Sus scrofa: one gene and its partners. The protein of the gene in region 1 interacts with the protein of each later gene in a biochemical or structural test. Links are inferred from orthologs where the notes say so. Each region holds a gene or a part of one and is shown on either strand. Other genes may lie near its edges.

The links.
Region 2: the proteins of RHNO1 (region 1) and HUS1 form a complex in vitro, tested with the Homo sapiens proteins (2 studies listed by BioGRID). The link is inferred for Sus scrofa from reciprocal best matches to the Homo sapiens genes RHNO1 and HUS1.
Region 3: the proteins of RHNO1 (region 1) and TOPBP1 form a complex in vitro, tested with the Homo sapiens proteins (2 studies listed by BioGRID). The link is inferred for Sus scrofa from reciprocal best matches to the Homo sapiens genes RHNO1 and TOPBP1.

The regions. Positions count from the first base shown.
Region 1 is NC_010447.5:67,243,322-67,247,069, forward strand, and holds the start of RHNO1 (RAD9, HUS1, RAD1-interacting nuclear orphan protein 1), read right to left. Parts: upstream 2,830-3,748; 5' UTR 2,682-2,829; exon of another isoform or gene 2,624-2,681; intron 1-2,623. UniProt on the Homo sapiens protein: Involved in microhomology-mediated end-joining (MMEJ) DNA repair by promoting recruitment of polymerase theta (POLQ) to DNA damage sites during mitosis.
Region 2 is NC_010460.4:48,522,137-48,525,872, reverse strand, and holds the start of HUS1 (checkpoint protein HUS1), read right to left. Parts: upstream 2,932-3,736; 5' UTR 2,836-2,931; coding exon 2,784-2,835; exon of another isoform or gene 2,780-2,783; intron 2,170-2,779; coding exon 2,042-2,169; intron 1,946-2,041; coding exon 1,769-1,945; intron 1-1,768. UniProt on the Homo sapiens protein: Component of the 9-1-1 cell-cycle checkpoint response complex that plays a major role in DNA repair. The 9-1-1 complex is recruited to DNA lesion upon damage by the RAD17-replication factor C (RFC) clamp loader complex.
Region 3 is NC_010455.5:74,843,665-74,847,412, forward strand, and holds the start of TOPBP1 (DNA topoisomerase 2-binding protein 1), read right to left. Parts: upstream 2,714-3,748; 5' UTR 2,524-2,713; intron 1,898-2,523; 5' UTR 1,891-1,897; coding exon 1,807-1,890; intron 1-1,806. UniProt on the Homo sapiens protein: Scaffold protein that acts as a key protein-protein adapter in DNA replication and DNA repair. Composed of multiple BRCT domains, which specifically recognize and bind phosphorylated proteins, bringing proteins together into functional combinations.

The sequences.
Region 1 (3,748 bases):
ACATACATTTATATTTTGTATGTATCTATATAATATACAATATATATTTACATATGTAGATTCTTTAAATAGTAAATATCAAATAACCAGTGTTCAAATTTTCAATTGTCTCCTAAGTGCCATAACTGGTTTTTGTTTGTTTCTGTTGTCCTGGCAGCAGCGTGAAAGGAGAGAACAAGTGCCCTGGAAGTAGGGGGACCAGTGAGAAGGTTATTGTATTACCTGAGAGCAGATGAGGCCAGAACATGGGCTGTGTCATGTAGGGATGGGAGGCTGGAGACAGAGGCAGGGTCAGCAGGACCCACAAAGCAATACAAAGTCTGAAAAAGCATCCAGGGAACCTAGAACCAGATCAGCTTTTTTTTTCTTTTTAGGGCCACAGGTGTGGTATATGGAAGTTCCCAGGCTAGAGGTCAAATCAGAGCTATAGCTGCCAGCCTTCAGCACAGCTACGCTGAATCCTTAACCCACTGATCGGGGCCAGGGATCAAACCCATAACCTCATGGATACTTGTTGGGTTCATTACCGCTGAGCCACAACAGGAACTCCCCAGATCAGTTTTAGTAAGAACTTATCAATGGTTGGTGGGACCAAAGTCTGAATGCAGTGGGCAGAAGAGTAGGAGGTAGGGCAGGGCATCCCAGAGGTCCACACAGCAGGGCAGACTGGTTCTACTATACAGCCATGACTCATCCATTCAGTCAACAACAAAAAAGCAACATCCCTCATGTCACTAAGCAGTGGAGATGCAGGTAAAGAAAAATAAGGACTAAGTCTCTACCCTCAAGGGTAGAGGGTACCCTAATATTTTAGGGGGAACATAGGTAATAAATACATCCATTTGTTCATTCATTTACTCAATAAATATTTACAGAATGACTATTTTTTGGGCACTGTTACATGTGCTGAAAATATTTACCAGATTACAAAATTCAATCCCTGCCCTCGTGGCGCTTACATCTAGTTGGGAAGTGATAAGAGGTACAGATAAAAGGGAAATGGCCTAAGGGCTGAGCTGACCTAGGGCTGTTTAGACCTAGGGCTGGTTGGGAGGACCTATCTGAAAAGATGTGAAGAAAAACTTGCATGAAGAAAAGAGAACAAGGGAGTTCCCATCATGGCACAGTGGAAACGAATCCAACAAGGAACTGTGAGGTCTCAGGTTCGATCCCTGGCCTCAATCAGTGGGTTAAGGATCTGGCGTTGCCGTGAGCTGTGGTGTAGGTCGCAAATGCAGCTCGGATCCCGGATCCCGTGTTGCTGTGGCTGTGATGTAGACCAGCAGTTACAGCTCCAATTTGACCCCCAGCCTGGGAATTTTCATATGCCATAGATGCAGCCCTAAAAAAGACACACACACACACACACAAAATGCAAATCATTATGTTGTACAACTGAAACTAATATAATGTGTTATGTCAATTTATACTTGTAAGGGGGGGAAACAGAATTATAGGGTTTAGTGATAGTTCAGTACTAAACTTGGGATCAGCATTAGTGGCCATCTATTTTTTCTGAGACTTGTTTATTAGGTTCAACCCAAAATTTGATAAAAGTAATCCTTTGTGAAAAATAATAACATTACCCTACTCCTCTTTCTCCTACTCCCTCTGGCCCCCACACCCTTCAAGTTCCAACAATTCTGGCCTAGGGCAGTGCAATAGCCTAACTGGCCTACTCAGGCACACCCCTCCGTGAACTCTTTAAACTGCAAATCTAATCCTGACTCTCTTCTGCTTAACATGTTTTGATTCTCTGTAAGGGCCAAACTTTTCAGTGGTGGCTAAGGTCCTGAGGCTCTGGTTCCAGCTTCATCTCACACGCACTCTGCACAGGTCTCTTAGCTCACACTCCTCAGAGACGCTTCAGCCTCTGTGCAGACCTCCCTTCCTCCCCTCCTACCACACTGCCCTGCAGCACCTCCCACCCTTTGCTTTGAGGGTCTCCCTCCCACCTTTGCCTAAAGGTATCAGATCACAGACCAAGCATGAGTTCCTGGGAAATGCTCTTCTCACCTCCCTTAAGGCCAGATCCTCTTACTGGAGATACTCAATGTGATCCCCGAGTTCTAATTTATCACCTCACAGTTGAACTCTCCATTTGTTTAAATAGGTAATTTGCTTCGAAAATGTCTTCTTTCTCCTCCCATCAGACCTTAAGCTCAGGAGAAAGGCCCCTCTGCCACTGCATCCTAGCGCCGCCTGGTGCACAATGGGTGCTCAACTAAACTTAGGTGTTGCCTAAGTTAATAATAAAGTAATTTACCACATATAAACGATAGCATGGGGCCGGGGACGAGATTTGGATTGAAGGTTCAGAGCCGAGGCGGAGTTTGCGGCCTGTATGTAAATTTTGAGGAGGAGGGAGCTTGAACAAGGTCACAACTGCGCCCAAGTAGCCCGAAGGCCGGTAGGGGCTCCGGACGGTCGCTGGTTGCAGGTCAACGGAGGACAGTTCCCCCATCCCCTCCACCAGCTGGGAAGTCGCTGAGGGGGTAAGATCCCGGGGCGGCGACTGCTCAGGGCCCGGAGGGCTGCGGGGCCTGCCCGTGATACCCAGTGTCCCCGCGTCCCGCCGCAGCGGAGCCCTCCAGCGCCCTCCCCAAGAGCCGCGCGCCCGCACCTCTAGGTTCCGCCTCGCCCGCCGCGGCTTCGCCGGCGGTCCCGACTCCCCAGCTCACCTGCCTCACCCGCCGCCGCTCCGCCGACCTCACTGCCCGGCGGGGCCACCTCACTGGCCTCTCCCGCCTGCCGAGCAACCTCACCTGCCGGGCTGGACCGCAGCGCCCGCCCAGACGACTAGGCGGATCGCGGAAACAAGGCCGCCGCCGATTGGCCACGCCCGTCACGTGACCGCAACGCTCCGCCGGCGCCAATTTCAAACAGCGGAACAAACTGAAAGCTCCGGAGCGGGACCCCACCCCCGGCCCCGGCCCGGGACAACACCCCCCCCCGCGGCGGGATCCCGGGATTCCCCACCCCGCAGCCCGGGGACGCGGCCCGGCCTGCAGGTGGGAGCAGCGCGGAGCCTCCGGGAGCCCAGAGCTGACGGTGCAGAGAGGTGAGCGGCGGCAGGAGGGAGGCCCGGGGGCCCGGCGGCAAGACGGCGCGGAGGGCCGGCTCCGGCGGGAGGTGGCGGGGCTGCACCGCGCTTCTGCACCACCTCCCGGCCTCCTCACCTCTCTCGCGGAGCGGCCCGGGCCCTCCCTGGGAGGAAGGGCGGCCTGCTCGCTCTGGCAGACGGCGGATGGGATCCATCTGAGCCCACTCCGCTTAGAACCGACACCGACCAGCTCCCAGTCCCTGCGCCCAGGTGCCCTCACCACTAGGCTGCACTGCCTCCACCCCGCCCTTTCCCAGGGCCCTCCTCGCGGTCCTGGAGACCCTTGTCCTATGTGGTCTGGATGGGGGTCGGGTCGCGGGGGTCGCGGGAGCCGTTCCGGGCTAGAAAGGATTGGCCATTGGAGGTAGAGGGTGGTCTGAATAGAAAGGAAAATTAAACTTTAGACCTGAAAGATATCCTGGGGTGAGGGGTAGGAAGCCAGTACTAGTGTCTTCTGATTGATGGGTGGAGGGAGGAAGGCCAGAAGAGATAGGAGGTGGAGGTAAAACTGAGATTTGAAGGGAGAGGAAACCTAGATGTAAAGGAAAGGGAGGAGGCAGAGTGGAGAAGGTCTGTGACTTCTAAGCAGATGGCAAATGTCATATGAGTGTGACAATCATTTTTAGGGAGATTGCAGATAGCCTA
Region 2 (3,736 bases), on another chromosome or scaffold:
ATCAGAGTCCATTTAGCACATATTAATGGGGTGCTGTTCCAGCTCTGGGTCCTCTTAGGAGCTGGAAGTGTCCTCAACAAGAACAAGATAAAGTCCCTGAGGTGCCAACGGTACGCATGGGTCAGTAAGGAAGAGAACGCACAAACTGTGTGAGCTGATGCAATATGTACAATCACTACTGCAGTCAAACAGCAACCAGGTGAGCATGTGAAGAGGTTCTTAGCTAGGAGATCAGAAAAAGCTTCTCTGAGAGGTGATGTTTCAGATCGGACCAGAACAAGGAGAAGCTGTCAGCCACAGAAAAATAGGGACGAGGGGCACAGTGTTCTCCCAGGCAGGGGAACAGCGTGTGTAAAGTCGTGAGGCTTTTCAGACACCACACAACTCTTAAAGGGGTGTAGAAGGGACCGAGAGACCCTTTTGTGTGCAGGGGACACTCAGTGTGCAAAAGCACTGGAAGGATAAAACTAGGCTTGTCTATGTGCAGAGGCTCCTATGAGACTCATAATGAAGCAAGATATCCTGCACTTCAAGATAGAAAAGCAGTATATGTTGCTATTTTGCTTTTCTTTAAGCATCTGGAGAACCATACTACACTTACATTGTGAGGTGAAATACTCTGATTAGCTCTAAGAACTGCCTAACTGCCAAGAGCTGAGAAAAAAGTATGAAGAAAAGGAATCCTCCTCCATAGAGCACTAAATTAAATGCAGTGCTCACACATCAAATAAAAGTACACAGGAGTTCCCGTTGTGGCTCAGCAGGTTAAGGACCTGATGTTGTCTCTGAAAGGATGCAGGTTCGATCCCTGGCCTCGTTCTACCAGTGGGTTAAGGATCTGGAGTTGCCACAAACTGTGGTGTGGGTCACAGATGCGGCTCAGATCTGGTGTTGCTGAGGTTGTGCCACAGGCTGGCAGCCACAGCTCCAATTTGACCCCTAGCCTGGGAATTTGCAAAGCCTCAAGTGTGACTGTAAAAAGAAAAAAAAAAAGGTGTTAATGGCAGAAGAGGGGAAGAAGGGAGGGACACACAAACACTTGAAAGGTGAAAATGGAGAGAAACAACTGTTTCTAGACTGGGTGACAATACCAGTAAAAGAAATGGAGATGCTGGGGGGTGGGGGGATGTGCCTGGGCTGTGGGATGGAAATCCTGTGAAATCAGATGGTTATGATCATTATACAATGACAGATGTGATCAATTCATTTGAGTAATTAAAAACAAAAAAAAGAACCATGTACCATACAAAAAAAGAAAGAAAGAAATGGAGATGCTGGAATATGCAAATCTAAGAAAAAAGATGCAGATGTGTTATTTCATAGGCAAAGCAGGATCCTACTTGAACAGTACATGATAACAATGTCATTTAAATGCAAGGAGGATCTGGGTGGCTAGGATCCATGAGGATTCGGGTTTGCTCCCTGGCCCCGCTCAGAGGTTGAGGATCCAGAGTTAAGGATCTGCAATGGCGTTGCCATGAGCTCTGGTGTAAATCGCAGATGCGGCTTGGATCCTGCGTGACTGTGGTGTAGGCCAGCAGCTGTAGCCCCGATTAGACCCCTAGCCCTGGGAATTTCCATATGATGTGGGTGCAGCCCTAAAAAAGCAAAAAAAAAAAAAAAACCTTAAAAATAAAAAATAAACACAAGGAGGACAGACCTTTCATTTCAATAAAACCAATTAGCTTCCCACATAGCGTTAACATGCCTAGGCTTATAACTTCTAATTCCTTCTGGGAAGTTTAAGAAACGATCCCTTCCTACTTACCAGCTCTATAGAAACTGTGAGGCATGGAAAGTGTTTATTAGTCAGCTTGATTTTCAAAGATCTGGCATTCTGGGCAGTTTTCAAGGCTCGAGATAAATTTTCCGACGTTAGCTCTAAATAAATCTCGTTGTTTTGTGCAGAGACACCTTCCATTTGAAATTCGCTGAAGAAGTTCTCCTAAGGGAAAAAAAGGCGGCGGGAGGGGGGGACATGTACGCCCTTCCCAATGGCATTTAGGGGGAGTCTGCAGGCCTCTCAGGAGCTGGCACTCACCTGTTCCAGCTCACACCACATGCTCACCCCTCCATTGGCCACCTTGTCAGAGAGGATGAAATTCAACTTATCCGGGCTGATGCGCAGCGTGCAGGTTTTGGCAAGCTTGGCTATCATGTTACTGACTCCTATAGCAAAGGGTTAAAATAAGAAATCACTAAGAAGCAGGCCGAGTATCCCAGACGCCACGTCAGCCTGCAGAACTCCCGATTCAGTTCGGCATGGTGCGCTTTCCCGGTGGAGAAAATCCCGTTTACACTACGACCCACCGGGAATACCGCTTTATCCCGCTGAAGTCACGCCAGCCTCTCAACAGGCCTGCACGGTAGCATCGCCCGCCGCCCTCAGGACTGGAAGAAAGAAACCCAGACTCAGAGGCTAACTGGTGCCGATCGGTCGCATTCGTTCATTCCGGGCCCACCTGCGGCCGCTGGGTCCTGCAGGGGGCAAGACTAGGCCGGCAGGGGCGGAGAGCGCTCTGGGACCGGAGTGGAAATAGAGGTCTGCGTCTTTAGGGGCCGGCGACCAGTTTAAGGAAAGCCACGCAAGGCAAGTCCGGTTTTAGGAACCATTCACGTCCACCTGCGCCCGCCGCCAGCCTCCGGCTGGGCCCCCATCCCTTTCGGCCCCACCCCGCCCCTCCTCGCAGGGCCCCAGCCGCGCGCACTGCCTCCTTCCCGGCCGCCCTCCCTCCACTCTGCCCTCCTCTCCACGACCTGGGCCGACGCGGCCGCTTACTCACGGGTGAAGTGGTTCAGACAGGCCCCGTCCACAATCTTGGCCCGAAACTTCATGGCGGGACGCGGCCCGCCGGGGGCGTCTGCCGGCGACACACTCCAGTGCGTCCCGCCTTAAGCTTCCCGCCGGAAACGCCGCAGCCCCGCCCTGGGTTCCGCCCGCCTCTTTGGGGCGGGGAGCCGGGCCTTTGGGTCCCGCCCCCGGGGTGTGGCAGCATCTGCCGGAAGTGACGCCATCACCCGCCCTCAGGTGCAGGAAGTGGTTCCGAGGCGGCCCAACTTGAAAGAACTTTTGCGATACTTATTTCCAGTGCTGTTTCAGAACCTCAGAAATAAAGTCAATCCTTTATTTATAAAGTATTAGGTGAAACGATCGCTTAAATATACACCTCTGATGTGGGGGAGCTTTAGAACCTCCCCTCATGTTGCTTTAAAATTGCTTTAAATTTCAAATTTGAGTCCGGTTGTGGCTCAAAGGTCACTAGCATCCACGAGGAGGCAGGTTCAGTCCCTGCCTTGCTCGCTGGGTTAAAGGACCCAGAGTGGCCATGAGCTGTGGTGTGGGTGGCAGAGGAGGCTGAGATCTTGAGTTGCTGTGGCTCTGGGGCAGGCGGGCAGCTGCAGCTCCCATTTGACCCCTCGCCTGGGAACTTCCATATGCTGCAGCTGCGCCCCTAAGAAAAGAATAAATCATTAGATGAAGTGGTTGCTCTGGAAGTCATGGATGTGATTAAATAATGTATCTGAACAAGCTTTGTAAACAGTGTTTCATAATATATTGATATTTACCTTAAATCACTTAGTTTTTTGCCATTTAAAAAAAACCATTTTTTTTAGGCATAACAACATCTATGGTGTTGGGTGTTTGGGGAAAATTGTCTAACCATAAATGACTGAGTTGATTTGTTCAAGAGGAAAAAAATTAGGAGTTCCTGTCATGGCTCAGTGGTTAATGAAT
Region 3 (3,748 bases), on another chromosome or scaffold:
ATGTGCAACTTATGCCATGAGACATGCCAGATCCTGAAGCTACTGATCAAGGCCAGGGATTGAACGCATATCCTCAAGGATACTAGTCAGAGTCTTAACCCACTGAGCCACAACAGGAACTCCCCGATCATACTTTTTAAAATAATCTTGTGCCTCTAGTGTACTTTATGAAGAAAAATAACACATATATATCAATCTCTCTATATATTCATATATCTATAGTTTTTGTCTCTCTCCTTTACAAGAATGAAAGTTTCATTCTCTTTCTTGTTTGCCAACATATCATGACTCCCAGTAAGCACTTAAGAGTATTTTCAGAATAAATTTTGAAGTTCTTATGTTAAATACTTAGCGTCATCCTTTTTAAATTAAGTCAGATTATGTCACTCTTCAGAGTATAACTCTCCAGTGGCTCTGTTTCACTGCAAGATAAAAGTCAAAATCCTTACAATGGCCCACAAGGCCCTCCTGACCTTTCTACTCTTACTCTCTGCAGTAAACCTAAACAGTCTTCCCCCATCCCTTGCTCACTACTCTTCAGCCACATTATTGCTGAACAGACACTGTGACACTTTCCCAGGGGCCTGTGTGTGATTATTCTTTCTGCCTGAAACCTTTTTCCCCAGATATCTATATGGCTCATTATCTCACCTTCAAGTGTACTCAAATAGAACCTTCTTCATAAAGTCTACCCTGATCACATTCTATTTAAAATAAATTGTTATCTTCCCTTCTCCTTTTCCCCCAACAAACATCCTCCAGAACCCTTTAACCTGTTTTGCATTTCTCTCCCCACGGTACTTAGCACCTTTAACACACTATAGTTTCTTCATTTATATGTCTGATTAATGTCTATTTCCTCCTAGACTAAAATGAAAACTCTGAAAAACTATGGATCTTTGTCTGCTCTGATCACTGACACATGCCGAGTACTAGAACAGTGCTCATCAGATGAAGGATACTCAATAATTACTTGCTGAATGAATGAACTTTAAAAAGAAACCTGCTACAACAGTGGTTTTTAAACTTTAACAGACCCAGGATCTTGGTTTTTTTTTTTTTTTTTTTTTGCTTTTTAGGGCTGCACTCACGACATATGGAAGTTCCCAGGTGGAATGGGAGCTAAAGCTGCTGGCATTCACCACAGCTATAGCAACACAGGATACAAGCAGAGTCTAAGACCTACACCACAGCTCATGGTAATGCTGGATCCTTAACCCACTGAGCAAGGCCAGGGAAGGAAGCCGCATCCTCCTGGATCCTAGTAAGGTTTGTTAACTGCTGAGCTACTAAGGGAATTCCTGAACACAGGATCTTGTTAAAAACCAGATTCTAGCTGCTAAGTATGAGTTAGGGCCCAACTCTCAGGCCATGGTGATGCTACTGATGATGTCAGTGAGTAACAAGGCTCTACACGACCCTACCTGCTCTGATACAATACTGTACATAACAAAACATAGTTTTAACAATTAACATCAACAAAAAGAAAGTGTAACCAATACAGGACTCACATTTTTTTCAACAAAGGTCTGTGGTTTGTAGACAAAAAGAAATTATTTTCAGAACAGCAGGTCCACCACTTTCAACAGAAATGTCATCAAAGATTTCATGCACCCCCAAATATATAATGTTTACATCAATTCAAAAATGTGTAACAATGAGATATCTAATAATGTAGACTACAGTAAAACTATTATGAACATAAAATAATTATGAATAAGACATAATAGGCCTAATAAATCAAAACAACTAAAAACAAGAAAAGGAATTCACTGCATCAAACAAGACATTTTCAAGTATTCTTACCTCAAGAGCTTTAAAAAAACATTCGGAATTGTCTGAAGACTTTAAAAACTTCACAAAAAACGGTTCTTTGTCATTTTTGGACATTTTTGAACTGTCAAAATAAAGGAACCGTTAACAAGAACATTACATATGAAGTTAAATGTTTAAAGCACCTATTTTCCTGCGTAGATAAGAATGCCTCAGGACAAACATTCTGGCCTTGCCTTTGAATTCATCATTACGGTTTGTAGAAAACACTGGAATGTGGACAAAGTCAAGGAAAAAGATGACAACACCAATCCTTGCAAATAAATCGGATAACGAAATTAAGGTCGCTAAATTGAATCCGTCAAGGGCCTGTGCTCAGGGGCTCTAAGTTCCTTAAGCCAAAGCGCATTCAATTGTACTTAGCTTAAAGATCCTCTGAATGAATCGGTCCCTGCGGGAATCCGCGGCCCTTGAGGTACGTTCAGCCCTCAGTAATGTAAACGTTTAAATATAAACGTGAAAACAAGCGAGCAAAGTCATGCCCCGTAATTGGCCGCCGAAAAGCGCTTGCTCCCCAGCTCCCGGGGCAAGGCCCGGCTCTTGGTCCAGCAAGCAGTCATGTCCTCTCTGGCGTCTAAGTTCCACCCGCCGGTCCCGGGCCGGTTACAGGGCCCCAAAGGCCAGAGACAGCGTCCCGAAAGCACCGCGGGATGGAGAAGGAGCTGACTCCTCTCTCCGAGCTTCACTCACCACGGTGGCGCCTGGGGGTCTCCGGGCGGCGAGAGTGGGGCCGCGCAGCCGGCAAGACGGCTGCTGGGCTCGGGCGCCAGCCCGGCGCACACCCGCCGCACCCGGCGGCGCCCCCGGCCCAAAGCAAGCGCAGACCCGGAAATTGCCGAACCCGAACTGACTTTCGCGCCAACTGCAGAAACTTCCGGCGGAAGTGACATCAACGGAGTCGAGCGAGGCGGGCAGAGGCGTCTAGAGACGTGGTGGGCGGTCGCTATGGTGAGGTGGGATCCCAGTCTAGGTGTTCTGGAAATCTAGGGCTAGAGCCTTTGGGACCTCCGGGCTCGGAAGGGCGAGCTGGGCTCCGCTGGGAGTTGGCCAAGCGCTGAGGACTAGCGGGTAGGGGGCCCGGAGTTCCTTAGAGGAGGCCCCAATACACCCAAAAAATAAAGCCAGGGGAAAGAGGGTTTTCCTCGATAAATATTTTACACCTAGAGACCATGTATTATCGTCCAAAACAACACTGTGGGGCAAATAGTGGTATCTCCACTTTATAGATGTAAAAACTGTGGCTTAGGGAAATTAAGTGACGTGCTCAAGGTCACAGTAAAGTAGAATTTAGACTGCTTCCGGGTCTGTTTCACCCTGTGGACTGGCGGACTGGATTCTTTTCCTTTCAGTGTATTATGAATGTATTCATCAGCTACCTCAGCCAGGAAGTCTAAAGGGAAGAAAGGTGTCAGGACGACCTGAATTACACACCTGGTGCAAAGAGATCTTTACCAAGGTCTTCTGTGATTCCCCCTTCCCTTAAACCTTTCAATGAGCATCTCATTTTCCTTCTCTGTAACCACTTGAGTTAGATTCTGGGATGGAAGCTACTGTTGAGAAGGCAAAGATCAGGGGAGAGGAGGTGAAACAGGATCGCTGGATCCTGGCTGGTTGATGGACAATGACAAAGTGCTGAGTTAGCATTTTCTCCTCAATTTATTCCAGACGAGGTTGATAAAGTCATGACTTGAGTAATGTTGAGAGTTTAAGGCCCTGTACCTTGATTGTTTTTCTTTTCCGTTTTAATGTCTCAATATAGCAAAGAGCAGCTTGGGTCTAAGTGTGTGAACATATCTGTGGAAGGGTAGTCAGAATAACACAGGGGCTCAAAGGTAAAGCACTGTTATCAGGGAGATGGTGAGGCAAGTCTACATACACATGAGTGAAAGTTACTAGAGTTGTAAAAAGAAATGGC